Linked DNA regions of Coturnix japonica. The protein of the gene in region 3 interacts with the protein of the main gene of each other region in a pairwise test. Links are inferred from orthologs where the notes say so. Each region holds a gene or a part of one and is shown on either strand. Other genes may lie near its edges.

Region 1 (4,709 bases), on a different chromosome or scaffold from region 3:
AAAGTATAACTGTGTAGGCTTTTGCCAGAAGCCATATAACTGACATCCTTGCCATGTTCAGGAAAGATAGTCTCTATTTGTATATAAAACACTACAATAATCAAAGTCATGTTCAAAGTTTAAACAGGAACATCCTTATAAAACAAAGGTTGAACTGACTTGACATTTTGCAATAAAATTACGCACTGGTTAGAGGCTAAATGTAACTGACTTAACCCATTCTTTTTTTGTTAAGAAATAGAGCAGCAAAATGTGGAATGCTTCGAAAATGGAGGTACAGTTTATTTCCTCAGCATGTGGAGCTATAGGCTCACTGTTCCAGCAGGTTGGTGGAGTGAATCACAGGAGGGGGTGGGAACAGGGCAGACGTGTTCAGGAGCAGAACAAGCACACCAGTCTATTTGTCTGGTAAGGAAGAAGGCAACAGTCCTTGACATTAAGGAGGACACGCTGACTTCAGTAGCCAAAGGGTTACCTTGGGACCCTCTGCTGGTTGCCCCCACCTCGCTTTTCAGCAGCACCATATCCAACACAAGCAGCCACCAGAAGCCCAGTGACTGCCCTCAGGCTGTAGTAAGGCTGGAGCAGCAGCTCCCATACCCAGAAGTTAGAAAAGTAATTGGTGGACAGAAGGATCCTGAAGGGTATCTGAACCTCAAGCCTGTCAGCTGGTCTTTTTGTTCCTCCCACTCACTGAAGAGAAAAAAAGAGGAACTGAGAGCTAGAAATGAAGCTCAAAAGTATATCCTGAGTCATCACTCTGTTTCTTTGCTTGTATTTAAACCAATTGTCAACCGCTGTGAGCCTTTAAAGCTAAGGAGCCACATCCAGACTGCTGGATATAAACCCTTTACGTGACACCAGGATCTCCAAACTCATCAGCAGGGGAGAAAAAAAGCATCACCGGGAGTTACGCAGAGTTGTGAAGCACTTCTTCAGAAGTTATCCGGTCCAGAACAATGCAGCACAGTGCAGGGCATTGTGTTAGGTGATTTCCTACCCAAACCTTGCGGTTATTTTTGTATCACTTTCCTGTGCGCTCCTCTCAGCTTAAGGCCGTTCCTAATTTAATGCAGCGGTGAGTAATAAAGAAAATTAACAGCGCTGGATTTGTTTTAATTCAAGAAGTCTTGATCATTGATTAGCAATGACACTTGAGAGACTGTGGCTACTGTGGCTACTGTGGCTACTGTGGCTACCTGCTACTAGGGGCGCCCCTGAGCTCAGTGCATACATCAGCACTGTCAGTGCCTCCAGCAGCCCTTACAGGAATCTGCTTGCTTTTATAGGGCACTCTTAGTCTTAAACCATGTAAACTGTCAGCCAACCCCCTGACAGGACACAACAACAGCTTGTCATGATGGATGCGTGACTTTCTGTGGGACAGTCAGGCGGTTTGAGGAATGCTAAGTTTATGACAAGTTACAGATGCACGCTGGGCACGGCAGCCGTGGTGCGCTGCTCCTGTCCCGTTCACCCCGGGCTGCTTGCGGGCAGCAGACACGACTCGGTGCGGCCCTGCGGGGCGTGGCCGGGCCTCCCCGCGCCGCTCCGCCCCAGCCCGGCAAGGCCGCGGTGCCGGGGGCGGCGGACGGGGCAGGGCGGGAGCCGGGCAGCGCCGGGCAGCGCCATGGGGCTGGAGACGGAGAAGGCGGACACCCGCATCTTCATGGACGACGACAACTTCCCTCCGGGCGGCCCCGAGCTGTCCGAAGCGGAGAAGTGCGCGGAGGACGCGCTGGAGCGGGACCCCCGCGGGATGAACGCCCACCTCCAGGTGCCGGGCGGGGCGGTGGGGGGAGGCGGCGGGGCCGGGTCCGGGCGGCGGCTGACGGCCGTCGGGGCTGCTCGCTCTTCCAGCTGGGCTTCGAGGACGTGATCGCCGAGCCCGAGCTCACCCACTCCTTCGACAAGGTGTGGATCTGCAGCCACGCTCTGTTCGAGCTCAGCAAGTACGTGCTGTACAAGCTGCTGAGCCTGCTGCTCGCCGTCCCGCTGGCCCTGGTGCTGGGGATCGTCTTCGCGGTGCTCAGCTGCCTGCACATCTGGTGAGTGTGTGAGCGGCCCGGGCCGGGGGGCGGGGGGTTCTGCTCTGCCGCATCAGTGCCCCCATGGCCGCCGTGAGGACCTGCGGGCAGCTCGGCGTGTTCTGCCTGCCGGGCTGCTAACGGGAGAGGAATTAAACCTGCGCTTTGTCCGTAGTTCAAGTCCACACTCTGATCTTAGCAGCTTTCCTGGCTGGGTGTGCTCCCAGGGGCAGAGCGTTGATGTTTGTGGGGCACCTTGCTCGGCTATGGATGGCTTGTTTTTGTAAAGCAGAGTACAGACGTTGTTAAAACACGTGTGCGTTAATTGGAAGGTTTCAGGGGGTCCAGCGCAGTCTTTTTATGCTACTGTCACAAAGTCAGCTGTCAGTGGCTCACATCAGGTGCACGGCCGTCTGCAGGTGCAGGGCAGAGAACCCCACCTGAGCTCCTGAAAGCCACGGCCATGGTTCACAAATACAGCAGCAAAGCTGGTGTACCTTACACAGAAACTACTGGTGAAGTATTGCAAGCCCAGAGAGGCAGCTGATGGAGAAGGAAGAGAGGCAGGGAAAAGAATGATGCAGAGGAAGGAGAGTCTGTCATGCTGCAGAAGGAAGCATGAATGTGTATCATCAGTGTAATTCTTGCAAACCTGGATTTTCCGTATACATAAGTTTTTACCTAAGCTTTATTTGCCATGAATAATATTGGTATCATGAAGAGGTCAGTAAGGAAAACAAAATGCCATCCAGAAACTGGGAAACAAAGTTGATATAAATACATTGGTTATTTGAACCCCTGATTTTTTGGTTGCAGATTTCAGTTTTCAGAAGGAGAATGGAAATTTGGGTTGATGGCATTGTTATGAGCTGCTTCAGAACCTGACTAACTTAAGTTCTGGAGCATGCAGAGTTTGCAGTAGGAAGCTGCTATATAATTTAGAGCTGCTACTTTGTTGGGCCTCAAATTACTATGGGCATTTTATAGTGGGCCTAGACTTTCATATCAGCCAGTGGTCTCTGTGCTTTACTGTACTAGAACTGCAATAGGATATGGTGAACATCTAGATTTCCTATAGTGAAATGTCTGGAAGAGTTCATTGATGATCAATTTGTTCACAATGATATCATTTAATGCTGCAGGATGATCTTCTATCTGAATTTCACAGGCTGGATATGTGGACACGAGTTCCACTGAACAGGACTCAGGGGTCATTTCTATTTGTGCAAGTAGTCCCCAGTGACTCTGTCAGGAACTGTGGTTCCCAGTACATCTGAAATAGAACTGAGAGAATGTGGCACTTGATTTTGAGAAGTTTCCCTTGACTTTCTGCAGACACACTTACTTGTCTCCTCAGCAGCTCATTTTCGATTCCTGAGTTCACTGTCAGGATGGAGTTGATCCTTCATTTTGGTCTTGAACCTGGATGGGAATCACATAGCACAGGAGTGCTGTCTGCGTCCCTTTGGACCCTACCCAGTGCTGCAGTTGGTGGCACAGCACAGTCTGGTCATCCCACAAACACAGCCTGGATTTGTTCCAATGCAATGTTTGCACACACTGTGGTTATACTGACTTATTTCTGCAGCTCCCAGTGTTCCAGATTTCTTGGGATTAAGGAATTCAATGTCTGTGTGTTTGGGAGGATAGTGCAGGAGCAACTGATACCAGAGGCATCAAAGAGACCCTATACACTGGCTCCCATCTAAGCCTGTTGGGTTTGTAAAAATATCTCCTCCTTGTTTTGTGGTTGCAGGGATGGGAATTCCATTATAATTCTGTCTTCAGCTGTTTAAACATCATGGGAAAGCTCTGGGCACTCCCTCCCACATGGCTGTCTACAGGAGAGCTTATCAGAGTCTGTGCCTTGTTGGCAACATCCAAACCACTGAGATGCTGATGCTGATCAGTTGCAGGGGAGCCTTTCCTAAGAATAAATTAGAAACTGTTTCAACAACGCTTGGAAGTCCCAGGGAACAAAGCTCTCATGGTTGTCACACACATGTTGCAGTTTTGTCAACATGGTAAAAATTCACTGAAGTCTGACAGCATTCCTCATGCTCCAAGGACACTCCATGACTTGCGCCCATTGTGTCTTGAAGTGAATGTTGTCTTTCACCAGAAAAAAAGAAGAGCACTAATAAGGGAGGTGAACACATGAGACCTGTGGAAAGCAAAAAGAAAACTTCAGTTTTCATTGCGACCTATTAAAAATGAATAATTTGATTCTGTTCTCATTTTGCTTGAGCTAAAATCCAGGTTTACGCTGCCTGGCAAAAGATACTGAAGCTGTGGTAGCCAGCAAGACCTACATACAAGCTACTTCAAGGAAAGCTGCTTCTCTCTTAGTGATGGCTGTCATTTTAACTGCAGTCGATACACTCAGTTGTAAGGCCAACTTTAACAACTATCTGTGAATATCTGAGCAACCTTTTAAACTTGTCCCTAGACTGAGGCTGCTAAGATTATTGATTTTTTAATATGAGCAGAGCATTGCTGGATGGCCATGCAAAATCATGATCTCTGTGGTTGGTTCAGAGGCTAATTCTTGTTCCCAGCCACACATTGGCAACCTCTTGAATTTCACATACACTTTCTGTAGTCTTATCTTTAAAATGTCCCATTATATGTTTATTCTGAGAATTTATGCATTATTTGAGAATCTGTAACTTTAGGTTGGAG
Region 2 (4,079 bases), on a different chromosome or scaffold from region 3:
TTGGTAGCAAAGTCACCATCTTAAAAGTCTGCTACAAAAAGGATCGTGTACAAAAACAAACTGCTGGGATGTGTGTTTGAATGCATGACAGCTCTAATGCCGGGTGTTCCTTTAAAAGCCAGACTTTGCCCTTTCACACCTACATTGTGCCACGCACTTGGAACGCAGCTCAGCAAAGCAGTGTCCTGATGCCAGGCTGTCAGCAGCTTCAATTCTGAGGTGCAGCATGTGGCTGACCTGGGAGCACAGACACAATGCACTAAGTGCAGCATCCACACCAGAAGAAAAACACCTTCCTGGAATTTCCTTGCAGCCCTGATATCACCTTGAATGAAAAGAAGAGCGTTTATTACGTACAGAGTCCATCTTGGAAGCAGCAGCCACAAGTCAGTCGATAAGCTGGCACAGAGCACCAACCCATTTAGCAGTCTATTAAAAGAAAGTTTGGGTTCAGACTTAACAGTAAGTAAGACTTCTGTGCATTAGCGAGCTTATCCAGCTAAGCAGTTTGAGGTACATTAGCTGCTGGAGCTCTCATCCAGGAAGAAGCCAGGAGAGGTGCTGCAGCTCTCCCAGGACCAAGGGCAAACCAACTGTAACGGTTTGTGCATTCCAGCAGTCACTGTGATCTTGGACAAATGACAGCAGTAGAAGCAGGAGGCGGATTAGTCAGGCTGCTCTGGCAAACAAGCTATTTAAGAAACTAGTCTTTTCAAGCTAGCACTAGCTGTTATCAAACCGACAGGCTTAAGGCTTACCTCGAATGTCATCACGCAGCAGCTAATCTGAGCACCTAAGCTTTGCTTATAGCGCTGCATTAGCCACTGTCCAGGAGGCCACGGGCCACACCTGGTTTTAAAGAAGAGTAGCCGCAATCCTGGGGAACACAGGCCGTGTAATTTAATTAAGACACATAATGTGAGCTAAAGAGCTCCCGAGATAAGCCCATCGGTGTCAGAGGAAGCGTTCCAATTTTAAACCCAATCCCACAAATCCCCACAAGCAGTGGGCAGGAAGAGAAGCACGTTGAACACTAAGCAGGCTCCCCTCCTACAGCCTCTGCGTGCCGTGCTGCACGCCATCAGCTTATAGAGGATGAGAGAAACCCTGACACAGGGAAACACGACAGGCCTCGTTATTAAAGCACCACACAGCCCTCCAGCTTAGAGCATATTCACAGCCTTCAGCTGTACAAGCTCAGGAAACTGATGCAAGACACTGTGCTGCACTAGATTAGCTTCATCTCACCTCTGCACCAAGAGGCCAAGAAAAGTTTAACCAGGGTCACGTGAAGCAAACAAAAAGACACACACAAACCCTGAGATAGCCCAGAAAGAATCCTCTATCTCTGCTTCAAAAAGCTGCAGATATGACCCTTTGTACCCTCAAGACTCAGCTCTTCAAAGACCAGGAATGTGCTGTCTCGAGAGAAGGGGAGAAGCCGGCCATAATATCCTATGGAGACATCACATCATATGGAAGAAAATACAGCCCAAAGGACGCCGGGTATCTCTGTCACTAGATGTCAGTAACATGGCTCTGCCCGCAGAAGATGAACGATGCCCCCGCTCTGACAAGGAAAATATGGCAGCAGGCAGCTGGGATGCATCTCATCAGGCTGGAGGTTGTCCCTGCAAGCAACTCACTGGGACAAGTCTAATTTTTACTATAAGGCAAAAAAAAGCAGTAACTGCAGCGCTGCATTCACATTAATGGTGCCCAACAACTTATGTACCCGCATAAGCCTAAATGTGGATACAAATCCAACACAACCAGAGCTCTGAGCTACTGAAGCCACTCAGATGTGCTTATCTGGGAACGTTCCAGGCTCAGATTCCGAAAGCCTTAGGCTAAAAACTCAGGGCAGCTTTGTCATCCTGAAGTGAGGAGAAAACAGAGATCACACAGCTGACGGGGAGTCATTTCCCGGTGGGGCCAGCGATCAGCTGCACAGGGCGACAAACAAGGCAGCTTTTCCTGCAGCTCTGCAGGATCCAAAGCCCAGCCCGAGGAAGGAAGGAAGAGGAACCGCATCCATAGGCGCTGCTGGATAGAGGCCCTCTTTACGCTTCAGCACAGCATCACCAGAGGCGCTCTGCGCCCAGCAGCTTTTCCATAGAGGAAGCTGGAGGTGACAAGCCACGGCCGAGCGAAGCCCCGTCCCATCGGCTGAATGATTCCCGGGGAAGTTCCCGCTGATCCGATTAAAGGACCTTTGTTCGGGCTGACCCGGCACGTAGCCGGGGCCGTTCCCCAGGCTCCGTGTGCCGCACCGAGCCCACCCGACCCCCCAGGGCCGCCGCTCCGACCCCACCGCTCCAAGAAACGCCCGAGCCCGGCGGGTTTAGAGCCGGTCGCATCCCATCCATCCATCCATCCATCCATCCCATCCATCCCATCCATCCCATCCATCCCCCGGGGCCGAGCACAGTCCTGCCGCGCAGCCCCGCCGCCCCGTGAACTGCGGCCGAGCCCCGAGCGCTGAGGGGAGGCGGCCCGGCGCTGTCACAGCCGCACCGAGGAGGCCCGCGGACCCCCGGCCCCGAGCGTTGAGGGAACGGCCGCTGCCCGCCGAACCCCGGCCGGTCACCCAGCCCAACACAGATAGAGCCCCACAGCCCCACAGGGAGCCAAACCAGGCCGCTCGGCCCCATGGCAGCACGCCGCCTCACCTGCCGCCGCCCGCCGCCGCTCGCCGCCCAGCGCCCAAGATGGCGGCTGCCGCCCCCCCGTCCCTCAGCGCCCCCCCTAGCACTGCAGAGCCGCCGCCGCGCATGCGCTGCCCGCGCCCCGCTGGCACTGCGCATGCGTCAAGCGTGGAGGCGGGAAGGACTGATCCGCGCGGTGCATGCTGGGAGATGTAGTCCTGAGGCGCGGACGCGCTGGGAGTTGTAGTTCGTGGGGGACGGCACAGAGCAGCTAGGCCTCAATATGGGGCTGTAAGGGGAGGCCGCCCTCACCCTGCACGGCCCCGCTGGTCCCCACTGCACAGTATGGGCATTTATGGGCATATATGAGGCTGACACCATGCATGGGCACACACATTGTATATCCCAATGGAGAACAGCCAGCACCCCTACACAGCGGGATGTGGCAGGGAGTGGGAAGCAGAATGGTCCAAAACAAAACGCGAGGCAGGAGTCCAATAAAACTATGTTTATAAATAAAAACAAGGAGAATGGTTCTGTTTTTGTAAAATCCAGTGAGTAGGGCAGGGTGAGGAGAGGCAGTGAGAGGGACCAGGGGTTACAGGGGGCAGTTGGGCAGTGCCACCACACTGAGCCCCATGTGCATGGAAAGAGGTGTGAGCAAGCGGGGAGGGCACATGGGGCAGGCTGGAGGGTATAATACAGAGCTCAGGAGTGAAACACATTTTATCTCCAGAGTGTAAGAGAACCACAAACAGAAAGAGTGAAGGAGACAACAGGAGGGCGCTAAGGGAGCATGGACCCACATCTCCTCCCCACGGCCCAGCAGGAGTGGAGAGGAGCAGCTCTGAGCGGCCGTGAGAGGAGGAAAAAGGATGAGGAGGGCTGGAGCAAGTGACCCACAGCTCTGTGTGAGCCCAGAGGAGCTGCAAGCACTGCCCACAAAGCTCACGTCCCTCCCAAGCATCGCACACAGGGAATGGAGCAGGGTAAGGTCAGTGCTGCCCCTCTCTGCACACAAACACTGTGTTCCCCCATAGTGTGCCTTCCCTCACTCACTGGCTGCATTCTCAGCTCTCAAAAAGGTCCCACTGCTGTGTGGTGTTGCAATGGCAGAGCCACAGCTGCCCCAAGGACTGCCCTTGCAAGTGACGGGGGCAAAGAGCAGGGCAGAGGCCCTCTCTAGGCTTCTTTGGGCCAAGTGAGCACTCACCCCATAGCCCTGAATTCTACAAGTCCCATAGGAAGTAAGGCAGGGGGCATGGCCCCAGTGCCAAGGACAGGGCAGGGGGAAGGAGTGCTCTTCCCTAAGGCCGGGGCAAGAAGGGGAGGCAAAGGGCACCATCTCCCCATTCCCCACAGGCAGTGAAGCCCTGGAACATTCAGACATTGGCTGAAAGGCAACTACAAAGGGATTTAAAATTCATGTAA
Region 3 (4,051 bases):
AACTGATTTGAGGTTAATTTCCTTGGTGTCTTTATTGCTCTTCCTCTCTCATAATGCAAGCTGCAACCATTAGTGTACATTGAAATTACTTTGCAAATCTCCCCTCTCTAAAAGCTGATTTTTTCCTGGGCTTCTCATTTTTTAAAACCTTCATATTTGTCAAAATAAATGAAAATGTGTTATATGCACATAATGTTTTTGTGGTTGCACTGTGTAAACAGCATTGAAGCAAACTGAATTAAATGGATATTTTGTTGCAGGATCAGATTCTGCCTCTGTTAAAGGAACAGAAACAATCAGAGGAGCAGTGCTGTATGGATGTTACTTATTTCTGAGTTTACTTTGACGTATTTATTGTGTATTATTTACAGTGTATAAGGAAAAGAGCATACCAGTTACAGCATCCAAAGGCTCATCTTAAAAATAAACAATTAGAGGCACGATATGGTATGTGTTGGAGCATCTAACTTGTGCTAATGTAAGTAAATGGTGTTTCACTTTTCTTTGCCTAATTAGCACAGTAACTTGTTAAACTATCAGGGAAAAAAATGTGCAGAGGAATCTGATGGGTAGTATAAAATCAGTGAATCAATATAAATCAATATAAATAACTATCAAAGAATCTCTCAGAAGGCATGAATCACTGATGTAAGGCAGAATACACCCAGCAGCTGTTTTACTGTCTACGTAATGTATCTATGATATCCCCATGTGTTGCTATCAGCACATGGGGATAGGCATAGGCATTTAGTGTGTTACCTCCCAAGCCCCTTTCATTGTGAGATTCAGTTCTGGAGTTCCCAATAAATCATAGTAGTTCATATCCTATTGACTTTGTGGCCAAAATGACCACACGGGAATGGGGCTGTTCACGGGCTCTGTTGATGCCGAGGCAGCAGAAACGAGGGTTGTATATAATGGGACGGGATGGGTTTCTGCTGCAGAGCGTCCCACGGGAGGGACATGGATGGGGAGCTGAAGGCCACAGGGCTTTTCACAAGCGGCGACGCAAACGCCTGCTTATGCCTTCGGCAGCTACCGAGCAAACAAACAGCGGGAAGCGGACAACGGGATACCCTCAACACTCGCATAAACCTAGCGGGGGAATAGGCCAAGCTGTTCCCTCCCCCACAGCTGCTTCCTTCTGTCCTGGGACAGGTAGAGGCGGTTCCATTCCTACCTGGGCGGGGAAGGCGCCGCTGGTTCCTCCTCCCCCCGCTTCTTGCTCCCGCCCCATCCTCCTCCCCCTCGGCGTCCCCAGAGGGAGCCCCTGCGCTCCGTGGCCGGTCGGAGAGCGCAGCTGGGCAGAGTAGTCCCTTGGCCGGCCCCATCCGTTCCGCAGCCCCTGCGACAGAAGGAGAGGAGGGAGTAGGAAAGGAGAGGAGGAGGAAGAAGGCAGCAGTCCTTCTGCAGCTGGGTAGGAACGTGTGCGTGCAACCCTCGACGGCTGCCCTCCAGCATGTTGCTCGGAGGCAGAGTGGCAGCCAGGAGCTGAGCGGAGTAGAACGCAGAGCAGAGTAGCGCAAAGTGAGGAGCAGCTCGTCGGGGAGCTCCGTTTGCCCGTCGCGTTCGATGCACACCATGGGCGTTCTCAACCCCCTGTCCGCCGCCAAGCCCCGCGGGGCCGCTCTCCTGGTGCTGCTGCTGCTGGGGCGCGTCGCACTCTGTTCCGCCGTGGAGGAGAAGAAAGGTAACGGGTGGTACGGGTGCTGGGGCTACAGGGTGTGCCCCTTGGTACTGCGGGGAGAGTCGGAGGGAAAGTCTTGGCTTCGTCCCTTAGAAGAAAGGGGGGAAAAAGTAAAAAATAAAAAACTACTGAGAGAAAGATGGAAAAACAGACCTACAGAGCAGTCGCGCAGCTCATGACTTCCTGATTCTAAGCTTATTTTCTTTTGTGGGGGCGGAGGAAATAAAAGGGAATAAACCTTTGAGAGTCTCATCGCTTGTGCTTGTCCCCTCCCGAGGCTTTTATTTTCTGCTCTCTCCTCCACTCCGCCCCCGTGCTCTTTCCGCGGCGCCCCGAGCGCCCTCACTGCCCGGGTTCACCCCATGGTGGCCGCCGGCCCAGTACCGCTCTGCTACCGACACCGGGGAGGTGGCACCGAGCACGGCAGGGACACGCAGGGCAGCCTCAGCCGTCCCGCCGCCTCGGGCCGGGCACCTCAGCTCATTCCGCTTCAAAAAGATGAATGCATGCATATACGTGTGCACACACCTGAGAAGGGTGTGTCGGGGAGGACGGGAAACTTCATGCGGATTCTGGTTCTCCGGTCGTGCTCGCTCTCTCTCTCTTTCTCTCTGCCCGGCCCGATGCCTCCGCTGTCACCCTCGCTGAGAGCGCCCGGCAGCCGTGCGTGGGAACGGCGCGGGACGGCCCGCGAGGCTGTCTGGTTGGCTTCTGGAGCTTTGTTTTTTATACGTTTTTGAAAAACTGGTTTAAGGAGTGAGAGAACGTTTTTGTTGGGAGAGTTCCGTCGCTTTTTCTCCATGTGTGGTGATCATTTCTGTGAATAGGCCCCGAGTGCTGTTCCAGGCAGAGTACAGTTCTCTTTATCTTGGAGATCTGCCAGCAAGGGAAAAAATGCAGATCTGTTGTTGTGTTTTCTTTCTACAGAAAAAGAGGGAAAAAAGAATTAGTAGTGTTTTGAAGAGCTGGCTTGCAGCTGAAAACAGCTGAACCTATGTTTTTGTAACTGAGAACAGTAAAACTGTCCTGAAAGGGAGCAGCAGCTGCCTGTTCTGAGGAACTAGTTACACAACCTCAAAGCATTGAAGAGGCTCCCTTGTTCCAGAAATCAAGTTCATACCTGTTGCTGATGTAACGTAGGCAGCTCTTCTTTCCTGGGTTTCTGATCTTTTTCTTTTCTTGTCTCCCCTCATCCACTGAAAGTGACGGGGAGCAGAGCTGACTCCGTCTGCTGCATTTAAGTCCTTTGAAATGGAACACCCTGATGCACATGCCCAGCAGAATCTGTAAAATGTGAGGGTATATATGTTGTTGCCTTCTTTAAAGTGCTTAATCTGGTGTCTCATAAAATTATGAAGGTGCTGTTTATTTGAGGATTGTTAAATAAAAAACAGCTACATGATAAACCCAATGGGCATCATTGTCAGCATTGTGTTAGTGAGTAACCATTCCTGTGAGGAGGACCGGGGACAGAAGAGGGAAGGCAGAATAACTTCTTCAAGAAGCATGAATCAATTATTTGAGCTTTATCTGTTTTTCTCCGCATTTGAAGATGAGAGAGGAAATAAAGGTGGGTACAGAATAAAGTGGCATTTGGGAATCATAAAATAATGAGTGAAGACCCACTTCCTTGGGACCCCATGGCATCTGAATTTATAACAGTTCTGAAAGCAAATATGCTGCCATAAACATTGCAACACTCATGTTTTATGATAAAATTCTGTTGCTTCTAGAAGTACAAATAGTAAATGCATTTATGCTTCTTAATATTTTAGTTTGTATTATCCCCCCCAAATTACCTTGGCAAATCTTTTTTGTTACAAGAATGTCAGAATCAAACTATAATGGGCAATGTAATAGTTGAATGGAAATTAAAATTCACCTGTATATTTTACCAGAAGTTTAGAACAATCTTTTCAAATTTGGATGAGACGAAACTTTTTTATTTGAATGACTGCAGTCATGAAAATGAAAAACAAACCAAACAAACCCAGTAGCTGTGCTTAATGCAGCACCAAACAGCATTGTTAGAAATTGAACTGTCACAGGGATCAATACCTCCCTCTCTCTCAATCCACCATCTTTAATGTTGATCCAGATTAACAGCAGAGGAAGTAATCTGGATTTACACTGATAGTTGCTGGATGGCCTGTTAGGTGCCTTTGACAGCAGGCATGCCACTTCCTGCAGCATGCATTTGACTGATGTCCATTTTGTTTCTCATTGCTTAGTGACATTGCATTTAGTCAAACCATTTCTTGTTGCTTTTTTGGCTCTATATATCTAGTTTTGATCTGTAGTTGCAGCCATTGTGGAATGGAGTAAAGGACTGTGCACTCTAACCCACTGGGCAGTGTACTGGCT
Region 4 (4,107 bases), on a different chromosome or scaffold from region 3:
GGTTTCTTTTTTCTTGTTAGGAACAGGCGCTCTGAGCTTTTTCCTTTTCAACTCCTGAGTGGTCCTGTGAGAGGCCCTTCACAAAAGGGATATGGATTTTCTCACCCCCCAAAAAAAGCTCCCTTACAATAAGAAAGATAAAAATGTGTTTTTAAAAACCCTACAAGAAAAAGCCCCAACAAAACAAAAAACGTTCCTCACTCCCTGGCTTTGTGATGTGGCTACAGGGAAAAACTGCCTTGAAAGAACTGTGGCTGGTGCTGTCACTTTGCAGTTCTTTTTGTGCCCTCCTCTGTGCACGCTGTCCTTGCCAAAGCTTTGCTATTGTTCTGCAGGAGGATACCATGGAGGTGGAAGAGTTCTTGAAAGAAGCTGCAGTAATGAAGGAGATCAAGCATCCGAACTTGGTGCAATTATTAGGTAAGTGATAAATACCAAGCAGGGGGATTTGAACTAAACCCTTGTGCAGTGATATGGATGTTAAGGAGCAGATAAGCTGCTTACCATACCAAGGCTTTAAATACAGGCACTTATTGTCTGGCAGAATTCACAATTTGTACCGGTAATACATGATTTTTAATGATCTCGTCTCCCTAACGTTTTAAGTTGCCAGAGCCTGAAGCAGGAAATTAAAATCCTCTATTAACCAGTTCCAAGCAAAACTCATTCTCTGTACAATCCCCCCTCTTTGCAGCCATTAGAGATATATGTTGCCTGGGATGACAGCCTGGAAGAGTCACTGATACTCTCAAATGTTCATAGGAAACTTTATCTTGGTCCATAGGGGTGTGCACACGGGAACCTCCTTTCTACATCATTACGGAGTTCATGACATATGGGAATCTGCTGGATTATCTACGTGAGTGCAACAGGCAGGAGGTCAATGCAGTGGTGCTGCTGTACATGGCAACCCAGATCTCTTCAGCCATGGAGTACCTGGAGAAGAAAAACTTCATCCACAGGTACGAAGGGCACCGAGTGCTCCTGAATCTCAAGCACAAAACACCACCTGATGTATTTTGAGGTTGTCGTGGCCTTCCCTTCAGCTGCAGCCCCTATCTACTGTATTCTGATGCAGTATGTTGACCTGTTTATAGGATGGTCTTCTAATGGTTTTCCTCCATTTTTTTCCCTTTTTTGAAGCAGATGTAGGTTAAAGATGTATCAGTGCTTTTACAGTTTGATCAAACGCTTTAAATATAAATGCTTCCTCAAGTAACAGGTTCTTAGTGGCTCACATAGGCCTCTTTGTTGATTTCAACAGCCATTAAAGGCTGCTGCAGATGGGTGACACTGCTGGGTGCTCACAGCAAAGCCACCCTCTTAGTGCCGTCTCACCCTGTGTCCATTCTTGTTTATCTCACACTTTTCCTCCTCTGCAGAGATTATTGTCCACCATTGTCCAGATTATTTGACTTTAATAAGTATCTTTGCAACCTTAAAGTCCCAAAGACTCTGACCTTTAAGTGTGCTGCAATTATGACCAGAGCTTTGCATTCTTTGTCTGTAGGAGCGACCTCCTAGCAATATAATGACACATCCTGTGCGAGGGATGAGAGCTGCTGAGTTCAATACAAGATGTTCTCTGTGCCACAGTGTGACCTTTCCTGCCCAATTAGCTAGAATATAGAATTAGCACATGTTTTTTTATAGAGGGAAATATGAAGATCGCGTGTAAAGTTCTAGGTGTTCCTCAGACATGCCTTGCTTTTTGCTGCCTGAAAGAGCTGTTTAAATGCTTCTGTCAGTCATTGAAGCAAACGGTGATGCTGCAATTAAAATTTCCACCCTTTGAATTGCTCTGTTGAAAGTATTCCATCCCTTCTGCCTGTAGGAAGTGAGCTTTAAAATCTGCCTTGTATGAATCCCGTTCGTCTGCTCTCCCGTTCGTTTCAATTCATCTTATTTCTGATGACCCATTTATCTAAAATAAATAGTAGCGTTTTTCCTTATCAGCCACCCCCACACCCACCTACCCAATTATTTTAAGAGTGTTGTCACCATTCACATCCGTAGATTCAAATGCTGGGCTGTGACCTCATTTAATGAATCAGGAAGGAGGAGGAATTTGATTATGAAGAGGAGCTTTTATTTAGACATACATTGTAGTAATCAGAATTGATAAGGAGATACATTCAAAAACATTGTGAAAATATAATGGGCATCTAGTAAGGTGTACTTTTTCCCCCCCTTAATTTATTCCCATTGAGCAGAACAAGCAAAAGAAACAGCAGAGTCTGCCTCCTATCTAAAGAAGATCTCACCTTTTCTGGTAGAATCAATTTTTAGTTCAATGTAACATAATCTGAAAAAGTGCTTTTAATGAAACCTGGTATTAGGAGAAATGTATTTCTGTGCTTTACATTTCTATGCAGTGCTGAGGGTGCTGGCAGCATGTTTGAGCCGGGGGGGTGGTAAATGCAACGTGTGCATCTCTCACCTGCCAAGGTGAAAAAACAGAGGAAAAGCTCAGTCTGCTGATCATCCAGTCTACTGAAAACAGAAGTACTGATAACAGAGGCCGGGGTAGTTTGAGAAGGGCAAAACCTCTCGTGTTTGAAGAGTAGGGCTGAAAGGGTAAGAAGAAACTGCTGTCCTGCAGCTGCCCACACAGGCTTTGTTCTGCCTCCTCACTAGGCAGCTGGGGTTGCTGCTTTTGTGGGTGCTGTCATTGAGTCGTCTGTATGGTCACCAATGACTTTTTTAGGGGGGAGGGTGGTAGAAAACATGGTGCTGTAAGATATGTGATACTTGGGAGGGAGGAGGGCACAGCTGGGAGTTAAAGCTGCCTCTGAGCAGGGACTGGGAGAGGAGTTCTGAAGGGTGAACGGTGGTGATTGGGTTGATGGAGGTGTTAGAAAGGTGGGCAAGAAGGGGAGGCACTGCGACGTCTTTAATTCAGCGCTCATCCTCAGCTATTGATAACTTGAGCACTGACATTTCTTTACATTATTTTTATCCTGAGGGTGGCAGCTTTTATTGAAAGTGAGGGGGTTCTTGGAGCTTTCATTTTGCATTTAAAAAAAAAAAAAAAAAGAAGTTGGGCTGACAGTCTTACAAAGCCGGAATGGAAAATAACTTTCCCTCTTCCATGTGTGTGCAGAGCTGCATAATTTCTGTGTAATACCCTGATCAGAATAATCACGTGCAGGCCCAGGCTTCTTTGGGAACAGCAAATTTCCTCTCTCTTGCTAGAAGTGAGAGGACAGACTTCTCATTGCTTGGTTTTGTTCTTGTTTTTAGGGACCTCGCTGCCAGAAACTGCCTGGTAGGGGAGAACCACTTGGTGAAGGTGGCAGACTTTGGCCTGAGCAGGTTGATGACAGGTGACACGTACACTGCCCACGCTGGGGCCAAATTCCCCATCAAATGGACGGCACCAGAGAGCCTGGCCTACAACAAGTTCTCCATTAAGTCTGATGTCTGGGGTAAGAATTTGCATGAACAAATTAATTCAGATTATGGTCTTTTACAACCTTCGTTTCCAGGGCTGTGAAATGAGGATGCTGTGAAATGTTTCAGGAGAGAGCAATGCTCCCTGCTCTGAGCTGTGTTGTATCAGAGTGCAGGAATTAATCTCTGCCAAGTCGGTCTTGGAGTGGAGAAGTGAGGCTGCAGACCTGGCTTTACGTGTTTGAGTCATTGACAAGTATGAAAACAAAGGACACTGTGGTGTTTATAGAGTTGTATGAAATGGGGCTGGAGGGCAGCCGTGCTGCTGACTTGATGGAGCTCTGGCACAGAACTGTGAAGCAATATATTGCTTTATCGCCAGGAACTTTCAAACTACTTTAAGGAGAAAAGTGAGGATCTGGTTCATTTTATGTTAAAAAATTATGTGTGTATCTGTCTGTCTGGTGATAGCTCCGAGCTCGTCTTTCTGCATTTTAAAAGAATAATCTTTGGAATGAGATGAGCAGAAACAGAGAGAAAATTTGATGACAAATGGTTATTGAAGAGCCCTGAGGTGCTGGTGATAAGACTGGGCTTAGCTAAATGGAGCTAAATTCTATGAAATCTGACTGCAGAAAAATCTCATTCTACTTCTTTTTTTATCGGCCTTTCTTTGGGTTTTATATCTCTTCCATAGCTATTGGTCAGATCCTC
Region 5 (4,690 bases), on a different chromosome or scaffold from region 3:
TCCGTGCCGTTCCGTGCCGCTCCGTGTTACTCCGTGCCGTTCCGTGCCTTTCCATGCCGCTCCGTGCCGTTCCGTGCCGTTCCGTGTTACTCCGTGCCGCTCCGTGCCGTTCCGTGCCGTTCCGTGTTACTCCGTGCCGCTCCGTGCCGTTCCGTGCCGCTCCGCCCCGCTCCCCTCGTGCGGTTCGGGCTGCGGTGCCTCCCCCGCCCCACATCCGCGGAGGTCGGACTGTCGTGCCTCGCCCGTGACTCACCTGCCCGCAGACCTCGGGCCGTTGTCCCGCTGCTCTGAGCTGCTGACGCACGTTCGGCTCGTGACGCTCCGTCCCGCTCCGGTTCTGGTTTGCAGAAGTGCTGCCACGTCAGAACTTCCCCGTCGTGCAGCTGCACAACATCGGTACCTGTGTGCACACAGCCTCGTGTTCGTCATCGCGGTGCCGCTCTGCTCCATTGCTGGCTGCTTTTCCTGTTTATCGGGCTAATTGTGAGGCAGATCTGTGTCCTGCAGCCTGAGTCGCACGACTTCATAAGGTGGGAAGAACACACGTGGCTTTGTTACTGTGGCCCATTCATGCAGGAGGATGAAGCGTTGGTGGCCTCCTGCACACGGGCGCTGCTGAGGGCCCTCCCAGCAGCTCTCACTACCTGTAGCGTTTCCATCTAACCAGCCTGCATGGGTTGGCATAGAAGAAATGGGTGTCAGAGGCCAACAGCCAGGATCTGCGGCATCCTCCTTTCCCCCTTGCAGGTTCAGGCAGTGCAGGGAGGCCAGGTGATGCTGTCTGGGCGTGTGGGGAGTGAGGAGCCTGCGAGCAACTGACCGGCTGCAGCCCGACAGTCAGAGTGCACCGTGGGCCAGCAGAGTGTGCTCAGAGCTCAGTGACACGCAGGCAGCTGCACAATGCAAGGAGCACTCAAAGCATGTGAAGATTCAGTCCCTGGGTGGGGCAGACACGATGCTGCTCATAACCAGAATCGTGCTCATCGATAAAAGCTGCACCAGGGCAGACAATTATACTGCAGGAAAGCCAGCTGAGTGCTGCCAGGCGGGGTTACTTGAGCAAGCAGCCCCTCCTGGGGCTGGCTGGGCACAGGCCATGATTGCTCACCTCCTGCACAAAGCTGTGCTGGGTTGTGCTGCGGGGACAGGCTGGGCTCCAGGTTGGGTGGGCTGCAGTGGCCAGGCCCAGCTCAGGCAGTGCCGGGTGCCCAACCTCCATCCTGCACCAGCAGCCATATCCCGGTGCCACCAACCGCTGGGGATGTCAGGCTGCGTGGAGCCCAGTGAGGGGTGAAGGACAGTGCCCCGGGCAGTGCCCTTCTGTCCCTTTTCTTTCCCAAGTGTGGATGCAGTGTGTCCAGTATCCAGACTGTATGATCCGATGCAAAGCCAAAGCACTGCGGGGCTGCTCTCCTGGCTCTGCCGGGCGCGGTGATCTACGCACACACGCATGCACACACACATATACACATACATACACACGCACATACACACATATACACATACGCACACTCACACACACACACACACACACACACAGACCCACGCACACGCCGCCCACGCACATTGCTGCTCATTGCTGCTCATTGCTGCTCATTGCTGCTCATTGCTGCTCTCGGCCCCTCCCGCGCGTTCCCTCACGTGCTCGCCCCGCCCCGCCCCGCCCTGAGCCCGGAGCGGCGGCGGAAGCGCGGGGAGCGCGGAGCGGGATGGAGCCGCCGGCCAAGGAGGGGCCGCTGTTCGTGCAGCACAGCAACAAGTTCGGCACCAAGGTGCGCGCCGAGGGGGCACGGGGCGGGACGGGGTCGGTCGGTCGGTCGGTCTCCGTCGGTCTCCGGGCCGTGGGTCGCATCGAGCCGAGCCGAGCGCAGCGCTGCCGAGCGATGGGGGCCGCAGATTGCTCCGCTCGGGCGGCCGCAATGGGAGGGAGGGAGGGAGGGAGGGAGGGAGGGAGGGCGGGGGCGGCCGTGCTCCGGGACGGGACGGGACGGGACGGGACGGGACGGGACGGGACGGGACCGGGAGGCCCCGCGCTGACTCGGTGCCTTGCAGCGGTGGAAGCGGGGCTGGTTCGCGCTGTTCCCGGCCAGCCAGCACGGCGTCGCCCGCCTGGAGTTCTTCGATTGCAAAGAGCCGGCGGGTCCGGCCGGGCGGTTGGGGACGCGGCGCCTGGACAAGACGGTGGTTCGCCTGGCGGACTGCACCAGCGTCAGCCCCGCGCCCGCCGAGAGCGGCCCCCGGGCCGGCACGGCCGCCTTCCGCCTGGAGACCAGCGGGCGCAGTTACCTCCTGGCGGCCGAGCGGCAGCAGAGCGACGAGTGGGTGGCCAAGCTGTGCGAGATCGCCTTCCCGGTGAGCGGGGCGGGGGGCGGGGGCGGCATCTCGTGTGTCGGTGTCGCGGCCCCGACGAACCGTCCCGAGGCACCGCGGCCGTTCAGGGGCTGCCCCGCGAAGCGGCTCCGGCCTCGGCAGCCGCCCGGGTTGGACTCGTGGGGCCGCCCGGCTGCTCAGCACAACGTCCCCAGGGGCTCCTGCCTGTGCCCCGCGCTCCGGGACATCCGCTGCGCTGCTGCACGGAGCCCTGCTCAGCCCCTCAGACCTGCTGAGGGCTGGAGGTGTGTCCCCGTCGGTCCCAGCTCTTTGCCTTTCCTGCAGAGGCAGAAGCTCAACACTGAGTGGTGCAGTTTCCAGCTCTGGGACCCGTCAGGCTCCTGGGAAGCACCAGCAGCTCTGGGGACAGAGCAGCCCCTCACCGAGCCTAGGGGTCACTGTCCAGTGCCAGCATCAGTGCTGGCCCATGGCTTCCAGCTTCCCAGCCCTTCCCAGCCCCTCCCCAGGGCTGGCTATCAGCTGCCTATTGCATCCTTGAGAAGGCAGATCACAGGGCAGTGGTGGCCTGTATGTGTTGGTGTTTGCATGGCTCTATGACAGGTCCCTGCCTGTCTGATCCCACATGTGCCCTGTACTCATTTTGGGGTGGGAGAATTGGTCACTGCTGGGCAGTGCTTCCAGACTCAGGCTATGGATGCAGGGCTGGGCTTCCCTGTAGGACCTCCCTGCAGCCATCAGTGACTGGCCCAGCTCAGAGGCACTGGTGGCACCGGGAGTCTTTCCATGTCTGTGGCCCTGTGTCATGCAGACTGTATTGCAGCCTTTGTCCTAGGCAGGGTTCCTGGTGCTCAGCTGGGAGCCCACCACCCACCTTCATTATGGTGGGGGCAGTGATGAGTGCTTCCTTGGAGCAGTGCTGTGCTAACACCTTGGTTCACCTGGTAGCTGCCAGTTGCAAACTTGGGGTCCAGAAGCTGGTCAGCAGCTTAAGGATGAGTTTGACAGTGCTGTGAGATCAAGGGGCTGTACTGAAGGCCTGCCCTGGAGCACAAGGTGTAGGAGCTGCTGCATGTGATCTATGCAAGAAGGTGAAGGTGCTTGGTTGCAATTTCTGCTCATCTGCTTGGAGAGTGAGATTTTGTGTTGTGTTAACTGTGGTCCAGGAGGTAAGCAGCTTGGGAATGGCCCACAGAGATCATTTGATCCTGGGTTGCATCAAGAGAATCACAACCAGCAGGTTGAGGGAGATGATTCTGCCCCTCTACTCTGCTCTTGTGAGACCCCACCTGGAGTACTGTGTCCAGTTCTGGGGCCTCCAACACAAAAAGGACATGGAGCTGTTGGAGCAGGTCCAGAGGAGGGTCACAGAGATGATCAGAGGGCTGGAGCACCTCCCCAGCAGGGGCAGCATGAGGGAGCCGTGGCTTTTCAGCCTGGAGAAGAGGAGGCTCAGAGAAGACCAGATAGTGGCCTTCCAGGACCTGAAGGAGCCTACAGGAAAGCTGGAGAGTGAGTTATTGAAAGGGCATATAGTGACAGGACGAGGGGAAATGGCTTTAAACTTAAAGAGGGTAGATTTAGACTAGGTAATAGAAAGAAATTCTGTCCTGTGGGGGTGGTGAGGTACAGGAACAGGTTGCCCATTGAGGTTGTGAACGTCCCCTCCCTGGAGGCATTGCAGGCCAGGCTGGATGGGGCTGTGAGCAACCTGGCCCAGTGGAAGGTGACCCTGCCTATAGCGGGGGGTTGGAACTAGAGGATCTTAAAGGTCCCTTCCAACCCAAACTGTTCTGATTCTTTTTCTTTTGAGCATGAGGGAAGGTGCAGTCCAACAAAGCCCCTGGGCATTCTTGGCTGCCTGCTCCCAGGTTGAGCTCTGCTCCATTGGATACTTCAGGAGGGCAGAAGATGCTGCTGTCAGCTCTTGGACTTTGGGTTTTAGCAGCGCATCCTGTTTAGAAGCCAGAGAGAATCTGTTGGCCTTGTTTGGGCCTTACTTCTCACAGGGGAGCTCATGTGACTAGTTTTAAACTGAAACTGCAGCAGCTTGCCTTCTGCAAGATGTGCTGCAACCCCGGCCACGTGACCCTGGGAAAGTTTCCTGCTTGGTCTGAGCTCAGACCCTCCTGCGGGAGCACAAAATCCACTGAAGGGCTGTTGCCAACATCAGTGGGCCCCTGGTTTACATGGGGCTGCTCCAGAGGAGGGTCCCTGGGGGCACTGAGGGTGCGTCTGCCACACTGGTCCACGGGGGACTCTGCAGTGGAGATGTGGCCCCTGGCAGAGTGTTTGCGTTGCACTTTCAGTTCTGCATATGCTAAAAGTAGAAGTGCTCGCTTCCTTCTGTGGTCTGTGCACT
Region 6 (4,107 bases), on a different chromosome or scaffold from region 3:
CTCTTCATATAATTATATCTTAATATATATTAAGGCACTAGTTACCAATTATCTGCAAAGCCCTTCCACAAGCTTCAAATGAGTTTACGGCTGCCTGAGTGAGACATGTTATACCAAGATTTTATATTGTGTTCATCCACAGTAGGGGTCAAAGTAGAAGAGGTAACATTTCCAGCTGGTTCCCTTATCACTCTGTCATAATTTTGCAGGCTTCTCTCTTGCTATTTTCATTTAATAACACTCAGAGAGGATCCTGAAAATTCTATTATTTCCTATTTGAATCTTCATAGTAAGTTGTTTCCAGCTTAAAAACATCTACAATAGAAAAGGCACTTTCTTGCTTGTTGACTAGGAGCTGGCTGTCTTGGCAGATGTAGACTTACTTGTACTAAAGATACTTAATTGTTTTGTTTTAATTGGTTGCCTCTTACTTGCTAATTTTCAAATACATCCTTAAAGGGAAAAATGAAAAACTAATAGAATTTAGTTTCTGCAAATTGCTCTACATTCTCCAATGATTACAATAGCACGCAGAAAAATAGATATAGGAATTATTTTTACTTTCTTAACCAATCACTTATATTATAAATGTTTGTCACTCTTCATCCAAATCTGGCAGGCTCTTTAGTTTTGCTGAGCATCCCTGGCATCCATCCCCTGCTTGGGAAACAAAGCTCTTCCTGATTCCTTGCATTTTTAAGTTTTCAGTCCCTTAGTATTCTTTGAAAGTAGACTTTCTTCCACCAACTTACATCTCAAATCAGGAGAGTATATTTTTATCTTATCTTGCTTTTATTTTATTTTCTTTTAGAGGAAATAAACCAGAACGGTAATTTTTGTGGACCTCAGACTGCTAATTCTTACTGACTTTTATGAACTTTTCTAAGTGTATGAACTTGAGAGTTTCATCAAATTAATCTTTCATCAAATACAAAGAAAACAGTGGTCAGCTATTTTCACATTTGAAATTGACAACATTTTAACTGATACAAATAGGAAGATTTTGACTTGTGTTAATACTACTTCTATATGAAACCTAATGTTGAGACCATACTGGAGAAAATAAAGATGATTATTTTCAAAAACTTCCTTCAATACAGCAACGAATGAATGCACAAAGAGATTTGTGTGGAGGCAGTCTGACTATATGCAACACGAGTTTTCAAGATCAGCTGTGTCACAAAGCATAAGTTCTGGGGGCTGTACAAGTGTAAAATACTTGTTACCCTTTCACATGGTGCATCATACTCACTTGAAGGTGAAAATGGAATGCTAACTGTATCCATGAGTCAGTTTTGTGCATGGGAACCAAGTTATTTTAAGATAAAGTGGATGTCTTTTTTCAGGACCAGCACTTGCAGATGTGGGAGAAGCAATGAAAGAGCTCTCTGAGGTCAAAGACTCTTTAGACATGGAAGTTAAACAAAACTTCATTGACCCACTTCAGAATCTCCATGACAAAGATCTGAGAGAAATACAGGTACTGCCTACAATGCGGCATTTTCATAATGCCAACTTTACAAATATATATATGTATTTGTATATTTACTCTGTGTGCATATATATGAAATCTGTTATTTGTGTACTTTAAAAAGAACTCTTAGATTCACAAATGATCTGACTTAATCCCTTTTTCTTTGAATATTATTTTTCACATCTGTCCCTTTTTTTAGAATCAGAAAGACCAAAACTGTAATTTTTTGAGAATAGCATAACCTTGGTAGGCATTAACACAGTACTGTAATTATACCATCTGAAAATATGTTTCATGTAAGTCACGTAATTAGATGAAGAGATGTTTGCATTCAGTTTTCTAGTGTATAAATAAGCAGATGTATTTTGATAGTTGCCTCTAGACTTGCACAACTCTTTCGTCTGTGTAAAAATTGTGCCCAAAATATTCCCAGGAATTTGGAGCACAAATGCATAAATTGTGTGGTTCATAGTCCAAGGATCACCTGGAATCTATTCACAGAAAAATCTCATTGGACAAATTCTTGTATGTACACAGGCTAATATTATAACGGTGAATGTACAAGTGCTTCCTAATTCAGCAAATGTTTATCTGTATAAATAACTATTCTGAGATCAACAATTCTTTCACATGGTTAAATATAGAAAGAACAAAAATGTCTTAGGCAGTCTGATACAATTTACAAAATTGATAAAGTTAATCGTAATAGATGACAAATTGTTTTTTTTTTAAACTAGTAAAGACAAGTATTCTGGCTAGCAACATTACTTTTTGGCCAGCATCGCATGGCAACTGCTAAATAGAATGTCAAGAGTGATCTGTCAATTACTAAATCAGAAAATTTTCAATAAAAGATAGCATTAAGATACTTTGATGATCTGATGAAAGTGATTAAAAGTGTATTCCACGTTGTTTTGCACATGAAAGTGTTTCACAAACCAAAGGCAGTTATATGTCAGAAACTCTCATATCTTTAATTAAAGCATCAACAGTATTTATTCATTGTATGTGGCCTGTTTTAGTGCTGAACAGCTTTCACATTTGGACACCAGTGCATCTTTCAAGAGATGTAAAACCAGCTCATTGTTCTGCTTTTCCTGTCTCAGGAAAGGATGACGTACAGCAAACAGCACATATTTGTAAACTTGCATGGTGTATCAGTTAAATTACAGAGAGCCCCTGGTAGAGAAAAGCAAGGGAAGTTGGGAAACACTTTTTATTCTTATTTATTCTTTTGTATTTTTGTTTTTCAGCATCACCTAAAGAAAATGGAAGGTCGACGTCTGGATTTTGATTACAAGAAGAAAAGACAGGGCAAGCTCCCTGATGAAGAGCTTCGCCAAGCTCTGGAGAAATTTGATGAATCAAAAGAAATTGCTGAGTCAAGCATGTTCAACCTTCTGGAGATGGATGTGAGATACCTCTTGTTTATGCTCTGACCTAAATCTTAGAATGGAAGTGTGCTGGTTCAGCAATGAAGGCAATTTAAAGCTGTCTAAATCTTCTAATTCTGTGATGCCATAGATTCCAATAACCTGAAAATGAGAAAGCACTTCCTACTTCATTACACTCAGTGAGAGGTTCAGAAGCTATATTAGCATACAGTACGCACATGCAAGACTAATTTAATAGGTATTTGATAGATAAGTGATAAAGAAGATAAATCCCCTATAACACCATTGTGCTTCCTAATTAAACAGTATTATTTAGAAAGACAAAGTGTTTTCCTTCTTAGAATGACATAAATGTAAATAATGGTTTTTACTTAGCTGTAGTTATGGAGTTACATCTGAGGCTTTTGTTCAAATATGTATGCTGCTGAGAAGACTTGTAAAGATCAGAGATGATAAATGCACAACCCTCATGATCTCTGCCCTCATCATATGCAATAACAATTAGGAAAGCCAGAGTTAATATGACTGTGGAATCCTGACTCTGAAGCTTTCTTTTTTTCTTTTTTTTTTTTTAAATTTCTTTTTTTTTTTTTTTTTTTTTTTTTTTAAATTTTTTTTTTTTTTTTTTTTTTTCAATTTTTGCTTAGAAACTGGTTTAGGATTTTACATGTATCGGGTTTTTAAATTCTCTCTTTGTAAGTAATGTAACGTCTACCTCTTCTGGAGAGAAAAAAAACAAAACAAACAAACATTATAGCTGAAGTTTGTTGCGCAGGATATCTGGTTAACTGAATCTCAATTTCAATATTTCAGTATAAGTAAATGATTGCCCCCCCCCCAGTCTTGGACACCATGGTCTTCTTGGAATAAACCCACTGTCTGGTGGAGACCACATTTAGGCCTGCAGTCTCAAAGACTGCCAAGAGGAAAGATTCTCACCACTTTACCCTCCCTCCATAGCTGCAGCACCATGTTATCAATGTAGGCTGTGCTTACTCATTGAACCTCCCCATTTTTAGTGGGCAGCAACAGTGGTTACTCACCAGGTGTGCTCTATGAGGGCTAACTTCTGCCTTCCCTGAAGCTAGTTAAACCCTATTATCAGGTGTGAAGGCTAAGGGTAGGTGTTTAAACTGTGCTGCTAATGTGCTAGCTCCACCCTTGCTGACTCAGGAGCCTGCCCACAAGCTGTTAGATCCTCAGCACAAGCATAGCATTGTTGCTAGCTTCAAAAAAAAA
Region 7 (4,107 bases), on a different chromosome or scaffold from region 3:
TTATGATGGGGCTCTAAGGGTGCTTCGGAGAAGGGGAAAGGCTGGGAAACAAGGGGAAACTGAGGCACAGTCTGATGCACTCACTGTATATGGTGTGTAGCAAGCTGGGGAGCTGCTGTGAAGACTGAGGGCAGCATTTATTCCTCTTCTTGGTATTTACTTACACACAGGAGGGTGCAGATGTTGCTCCCTGCCCCGTGCCCTGTTGCTGCAGCCTCCCCAAAGGTCCTGGGCTCCGCTTTGCCTTGTCTCTGAGCCCTTCTCAGCCTCCCTCTGCCCCACAGGGAGACTTCCCACTGAAGGCAGAGCGGGTGATCCAGTCGGTCATGGCCATCTGCAATGCCCTGGCTGCCGTTGAGTCACAGGAAATAACAACAGCCCTCAACCAGATGCCCCCTTGCCCGTCCCGCATGCAGCCCAAAATCCAGAAGGTAAGAGCTGAGAAAGGGGTGGGTGCAGAGAGAAAGCCCAATTGCAGGCTGATCCCATTCACTCCTTTCCTTTACACCACGTGGAAAATTCCTCAATAGCTGGGAGCAGGCAGCAGCTGAAGGGCCAGGACCTTGGTGCTCACCCCGGCTGCTTACGTAAAGCTGTTGGCTTGGAGAGCCTCTCCCGGCCGCAGCGACGCTCAGGGCTCATGCTGATATTGCTCTTGTGGTTTCTTTTCTTTATTTTCCTCTGCAGGATCCAAATGTTCTGGCCAAGAGGGAAAATCGAGGTATTTCAAATTCTCCTCCTCCTCCTCCCCTTCTGGATTGAACTTCTTGGTGCTTTTAATCTTCAAACCCCTCCTCCTCCTCAATTATTAAGGCCGAAAATGGGTTTGAAACCCTTCTTAAAGAAAAGAGGCCATGCCTATTGTTCTTCCCCATCAGCTCAGCTAAGTGGAAGCCTGCAATTCCTGCACTTCCACCTCATGCCCCAGAGCACAGCCCTGCTCAGGGTCCCCCCCCCCAGCATCCCAGCCCCATTTTAAGGCCCTATAAGACACAGCAAGGCAGCAGGTCTCAGACAGCTCTGTGTCACCCCTCTCCTTTTTCCCCTGCAGAGAGGATCGTGGAGAGCCTGACGGCTGCCATCCTGGACCTGGTGGGGCTTTACTGCAGCACCTTCAATGCTGACTTCCAGACAGCAGTGCAATGGAGCCGGGAGCATGGCGTGGTGCAGGAGGCTCGCCTGCTTTCCTGCCCACTCTCCTTCACCGTTTACGCCACTCACCGCATCCCCATCACTTGGGCTGCCAGGTAGGGTGGCCATGTGGACATTGCTCAGCCTCTACCTGCATAATCTGGGGCACAGACCTGTTAGTTCCATCTCTAGGCTGCTCAATATTCAGCATAAAAGCTAAACCACCCCAGGGCGCCCCATGTTCGGCGTGCATTGAGCGGTGCTTGCATGGTGCAGGCGGATGGCACAGGCTCTGTGCTGCTCTCTTTCTCCAGCCCCACACATCCCCAAGGCTGCAGCATCACTCCTGGGCTCACAGCCTCCCTGGCGATGTGACAGATGGCCCCAGTGCCCGTGCCCACTCTCAGCCCCATGCAGGGGAGACAGTGGCAGCCCAGGAGCCCACCATGGGGAGGGTGTATGAGGCAGCAGCATCGGCTGCAGCCGCCCCGCCGGGGACCCCTCGCCTTTGTCCTGTCTTTAATGTATTCCCTCTGGTGACTGGCTCTGAACAAAGCCCGTAGCCTGGGAAATGCCGACATCCCCTGACCTCCAGCACCCCGCAGCCCTCCCCGGATTGTCGCTCGGCACCTGCCACATGGCAGGACCCCCCCCCCCAGCAGCCCCCCTTGTGATGGTATGCGCGATGCCATATGGTGATGGGGATGGGAAGGACAGGGGCTGCTAGCTCCGTATCCACCCCCCTTGTGCAAAGCTGGGGAGGACGAGCCACTTATGAAGGGGCTTCATTAGAATGTGGCCAGCCATGGGAACATACCCAACATATCCTTTTTGCACCCCCCTTCCTCCCAGCTCCACTGCTATGAGGTTTCCCCTTTGGTTAAGTGAACCCCAAGCACCCTCAGAGCTGTGGCTGCTCCCCCCACTCACATTTCTTTTGCTCCCCTTGCAGCTATGAAGATTTCTACCTCTCTTGCTCCATCACGCACGGTGGTAAGGAGCTGTGCAGCCCCCTGCACACCAGAAAAGCCCACGTCTACAAGTACCTTTTCCACCTCATCATATGGGACCAGCAGTAAGGCAGCACCCTGGATGTGGGGTGGGCATGGGTACCCGGTGCCGTCCCCATCCGTACTACCTCCTCCAGCAGCTCCTCTCTGTGCCTCTCCCTAGTTTTAGGGTTATGGAAGCTCTTATGTCATCCCCAGGAATAGCACCTGCCCCTGGCGCCAGTCCTCCACCTCCTGTTTGCACCCGGGAAAGGGGATCTGCTCCCAAAATAGCCTTGGGATAAGGATAAGGATAGGGATAGGGAGGGAGGCTGTGCTGAGCCCTCGCCATGCCTGGCATTTGCAAAGAGGTGGGGATGGGAATGGGATAATTTTAGAAGGCGCCTGTGCCCCTGAAGGACGTGTGTCCAGTGGCACCAATCCCCTCTGCCTGTCCCACCCATCCCATGCCCACCCTGTGGGCAGGATGCCCTGAGCTCCTTGAGGACCCCCACACTGACAGGGAGAAGCTGGGACGAGGTCAGTGTGCAGTATCCCCCATATCACCTACCTTGGATATAGCAAAGGCATGGGAACAGCCGGCCCTGTCCAACGTGGGGGGGTATGCCCATGACGTATGTGTGCACGTGGCACCCCCAGTGCCAGCAGCAAAGGCATTTGCTGAGCTCTGTTGGCATTCCGAGGTAAGGGGCCAGGGCTGATCCGTGCCGTGGGGCTCTGACTGCTCTCTTGCAGGATCTGCTTCCCCGTCCAGGTGAACCGACTGCCGCGGGAGACGCTGCTCAGCATCACGCTCTTCGCCGTGCCCGTCCCTCCCCCGGGGAGCTCCTCTGACACCAACAAGCAACGGCGGGTCCCTGAGGCCCTGGGCTGGGTCACCACTCCGCTCTTCAACTTCAGGCAGTGCGTAGGGTGTCCAACCACCACGGGCACCCCAGGGTGGGCTCTGAGGGTCCCCCAGGGCTCAGTGTGGGGATGCAGCATCGCTGCAGCGGTGTCACCCCAACCCCAGGGGAGCAGCCCCCCAAATAGATTCCCCTTTCTCCTCCAGGGTCCTGACCTGCGGGAGAAAGCTTTTGGGCTTGTGGCCAGCGACCCAGGACAACTCCAGAGCCAGATCGAGTGCCCCCAACTTCAACCAGCCTGACAGCGTCATCCTGCAGGTGGGTGTCAGCAGTGGGGGCACCGGAGGGGTGTCAAACCCCCATTCACTCACTCACCCATCCTTTGTCCCAGATTGATTTCCCCACCTCTGCCTTTGACGTGAAGTTTGTGAGCCCGCTGGCGGCCGAGGTGAGCCCCAAGTACGAATTTGGCAGCCTGGGTGAGGAGGATCAGCGCAGGCTGCGGGAGGCGATGCAGAAGAAATCGCTTTATTGGTGAGCAATGGGGGGGATCAGCACCATCCTTCCTTGAGGGGTCTCAGTTGAGCTCTGCCCAGCATTGGCTTGCATGCACAGGGGGCATCTGGGGGCCTGATCCTTCCTCCAGCAGCTGGTCTGGGGAGGCAGCTGGGGCTGGAGGATGAGTTTGAGGTTTGGTGGAGTTGCAATGCTCAGTGCTGCTGAGCCGGCCGGCGTCTGCTGCTGCTATAAACAGGGAGGATTGGGTGTCAGCAGCCGTGCCTGGATCCACAGAGCATGACAGCAGTGGTGGATGTGTCCCCACTGACAGACACTCCTCCAGTACCCACTGACGGTGCTAATTCTGCCTGCCAAGCATCTTGGTGCAAGGCCAGCACATGATGGGTGCCCCAGGGACCAGGGGAGCACCCAGCATCATGCAACATGGCATAGCCCCATCCACCATCTCTCTTAAGGCTGTGGAGGGTTTTATCCATGCATGGTGGGGTTGGAGCTGTGCGCTGTGCCCAGGCTTTGTCATCCCTCATTGCTTGCTGCTGCAGGTTGACAGATGCAGACCGCAAACGGCTGTGGGAGAAGCGCTACTACTGCCACGAAGCACC

Evidence for each region.
Region 1: the proteins of EGFR (region 3) and CAV2 interact in binary tests that used the Homo sapiens proteins (3 or more experiments, as listed by UniProt). The link is inferred for Coturnix japonica from reciprocal best matches to the Homo sapiens genes EGFR and CAV2.
Region 2: the proteins of EGFR (region 3) and AP2M1 interact in binary tests that used the Homo sapiens proteins (3 or more experiments, as listed by UniProt). The link is inferred for Coturnix japonica from reciprocal best matches to the Homo sapiens genes EGFR and AP2M1.
Region 4: the proteins of EGFR (region 3) and ABL1 interact in binary tests that used the Homo sapiens proteins (3 or more experiments, as listed by UniProt). The link is inferred for Coturnix japonica from reciprocal best matches to the Homo sapiens genes EGFR and ABL1.
Region 5: the proteins of EGFR (region 3) and DOK1 interact in a protein complementation assay, tested with the Homo sapiens proteins (3 studies listed by BioGRID and IntAct, with this or other methods). The link is inferred for Coturnix japonica from reciprocal best matches to the Homo sapiens genes EGFR and DOK1.
Region 6: the proteins of EGFR (region 3) and SH3GL2 interact in a protein complementation assay, tested with the Homo sapiens proteins (3 studies listed by BioGRID and IntAct, with this or other methods). The link is inferred for Coturnix japonica from reciprocal best matches to the Homo sapiens genes EGFR and SH3GL2.
Region 7: the proteins of EGFR (region 3) and PIK3C2B interact in binary tests that used the Homo sapiens proteins (3 or more experiments, as listed by UniProt). The link is inferred for Coturnix japonica from reciprocal best matches to the Homo sapiens genes EGFR and PIK3C2B.

Annotation. Positions count from the first base shown.
Region 1 is NC_029516.1:22,513,198-22,517,906, reverse strand, and holds the start of CAV2 (caveolin-2), read left to right. Parts: upstream 1-1,539; 5' UTR 1,540-1,630; coding exon 1,631-1,777; intron 1,778-1,860; coding exon 1,861-2,048; intron 2,049-4,709. UniProt on the Homo sapiens protein: May act as a scaffolding protein within caveolar membranes. Interacts directly with G-protein alpha subunits and can functionally regulate their activity.
Region 2 is NC_029524.1:13,826,408-13,830,486, reverse strand, and holds the start of AP2M1 (AP-2 complex subunit mu), read right to left. Parts: upstream 2,801-4,079; 5' UTR 2,673-2,800; intron 1-2,672.
Region 3 is NC_029517.1:73,822,911-73,826,961, forward strand, and holds the start of EGFR (epidermal growth factor receptor), read left to right. Parts: upstream 1-1,251; 5' UTR 1,252-1,572; coding exon 1,573-1,690; intron 1,691-4,051. UniProt on the Homo sapiens protein: Receptor tyrosine kinase binding ligands of the EGF family and activating several signaling cascades to convert extracellular cues into appropriate cellular responses.
Region 4 is NC_029532.1:4,613,111-4,617,217, forward strand, and holds part of ABL1 (tyrosine-protein kinase ABL1), read left to right. Parts: intron 1-335; coding exon 336-420; intron 421-784; coding exon 785-962; intron 963-3,243; coding exon 3,244-3,428; intron 3,429-4,107. UniProt on the Homo sapiens protein: Non-receptor tyrosine-protein kinase that plays a role in many key processes linked to cell growth and survival such as cytoskeleton remodeling in response to extracellular stimuli, cell motility and adhesion, receptor endocytosis, autophagy, DNA damage response and apoptosis.
Region 5 is NW_015439533.1:509,780-514,469, forward strand, and holds the start of DOK1 (docking protein 1), read left to right. Parts: upstream 1-1,641; 5' UTR 1,642-1,709; coding exon 1,710-1,772; intron 1,773-2,052; coding exon 2,053-2,352; intron 2,353-4,690. UniProt on the Homo sapiens protein: DOK proteins are enzymatically inert adaptor or scaffolding proteins. They provide a docking platform for the assembly of multimolecular signaling complexes. DOK1 appears to be a negative regulator of the insulin signaling pathway.
Region 6 is NC_029547.1:29,788,054-29,792,160, forward strand, and holds part of SH3GL2 (endophilin-A1), read left to right. Parts: intron 1-1,346; coding exon 1,347-1,480; intron 1,481-2,727; coding exon 2,728-2,886; intron 2,887-4,107. UniProt on the Homo sapiens protein: Implicated in synaptic vesicle endocytosis. May recruit other proteins to membranes with high curvature. Required for BDNF-dependent dendrite outgrowth.
Region 7 is NC_029541.1:2,127,414-2,131,520, reverse strand, and holds part of PIK3C2B (phosphatidylinositol 4-phosphate 3-kinase C2 domain-containing subunit beta), read left to right. Parts: exon of another isoform or gene 1-284; coding exon 285-431; exon of another isoform or gene 432-687; coding exon 688-721; intron 722-1,051; coding exon 1,052-1,247; intron 1,248-2,083; coding exon 2,084-2,206; exon of another isoform or gene 2,207-2,666; intron 2,667-2,876; coding exon 2,877-3,044; intron 3,045-3,192; coding exon 3,193-3,304; intron 3,305-3,377; coding exon 3,378-3,520; intron 3,521-4,047; coding exon 4,048-4,107. UniProt on the Homo sapiens protein: Phosphorylates PtdIns and PtdIns4P with a preference for PtdIns. Does not phosphorylate PtdIns(4,5)P2. May be involved in EGF and PDGF signaling cascades.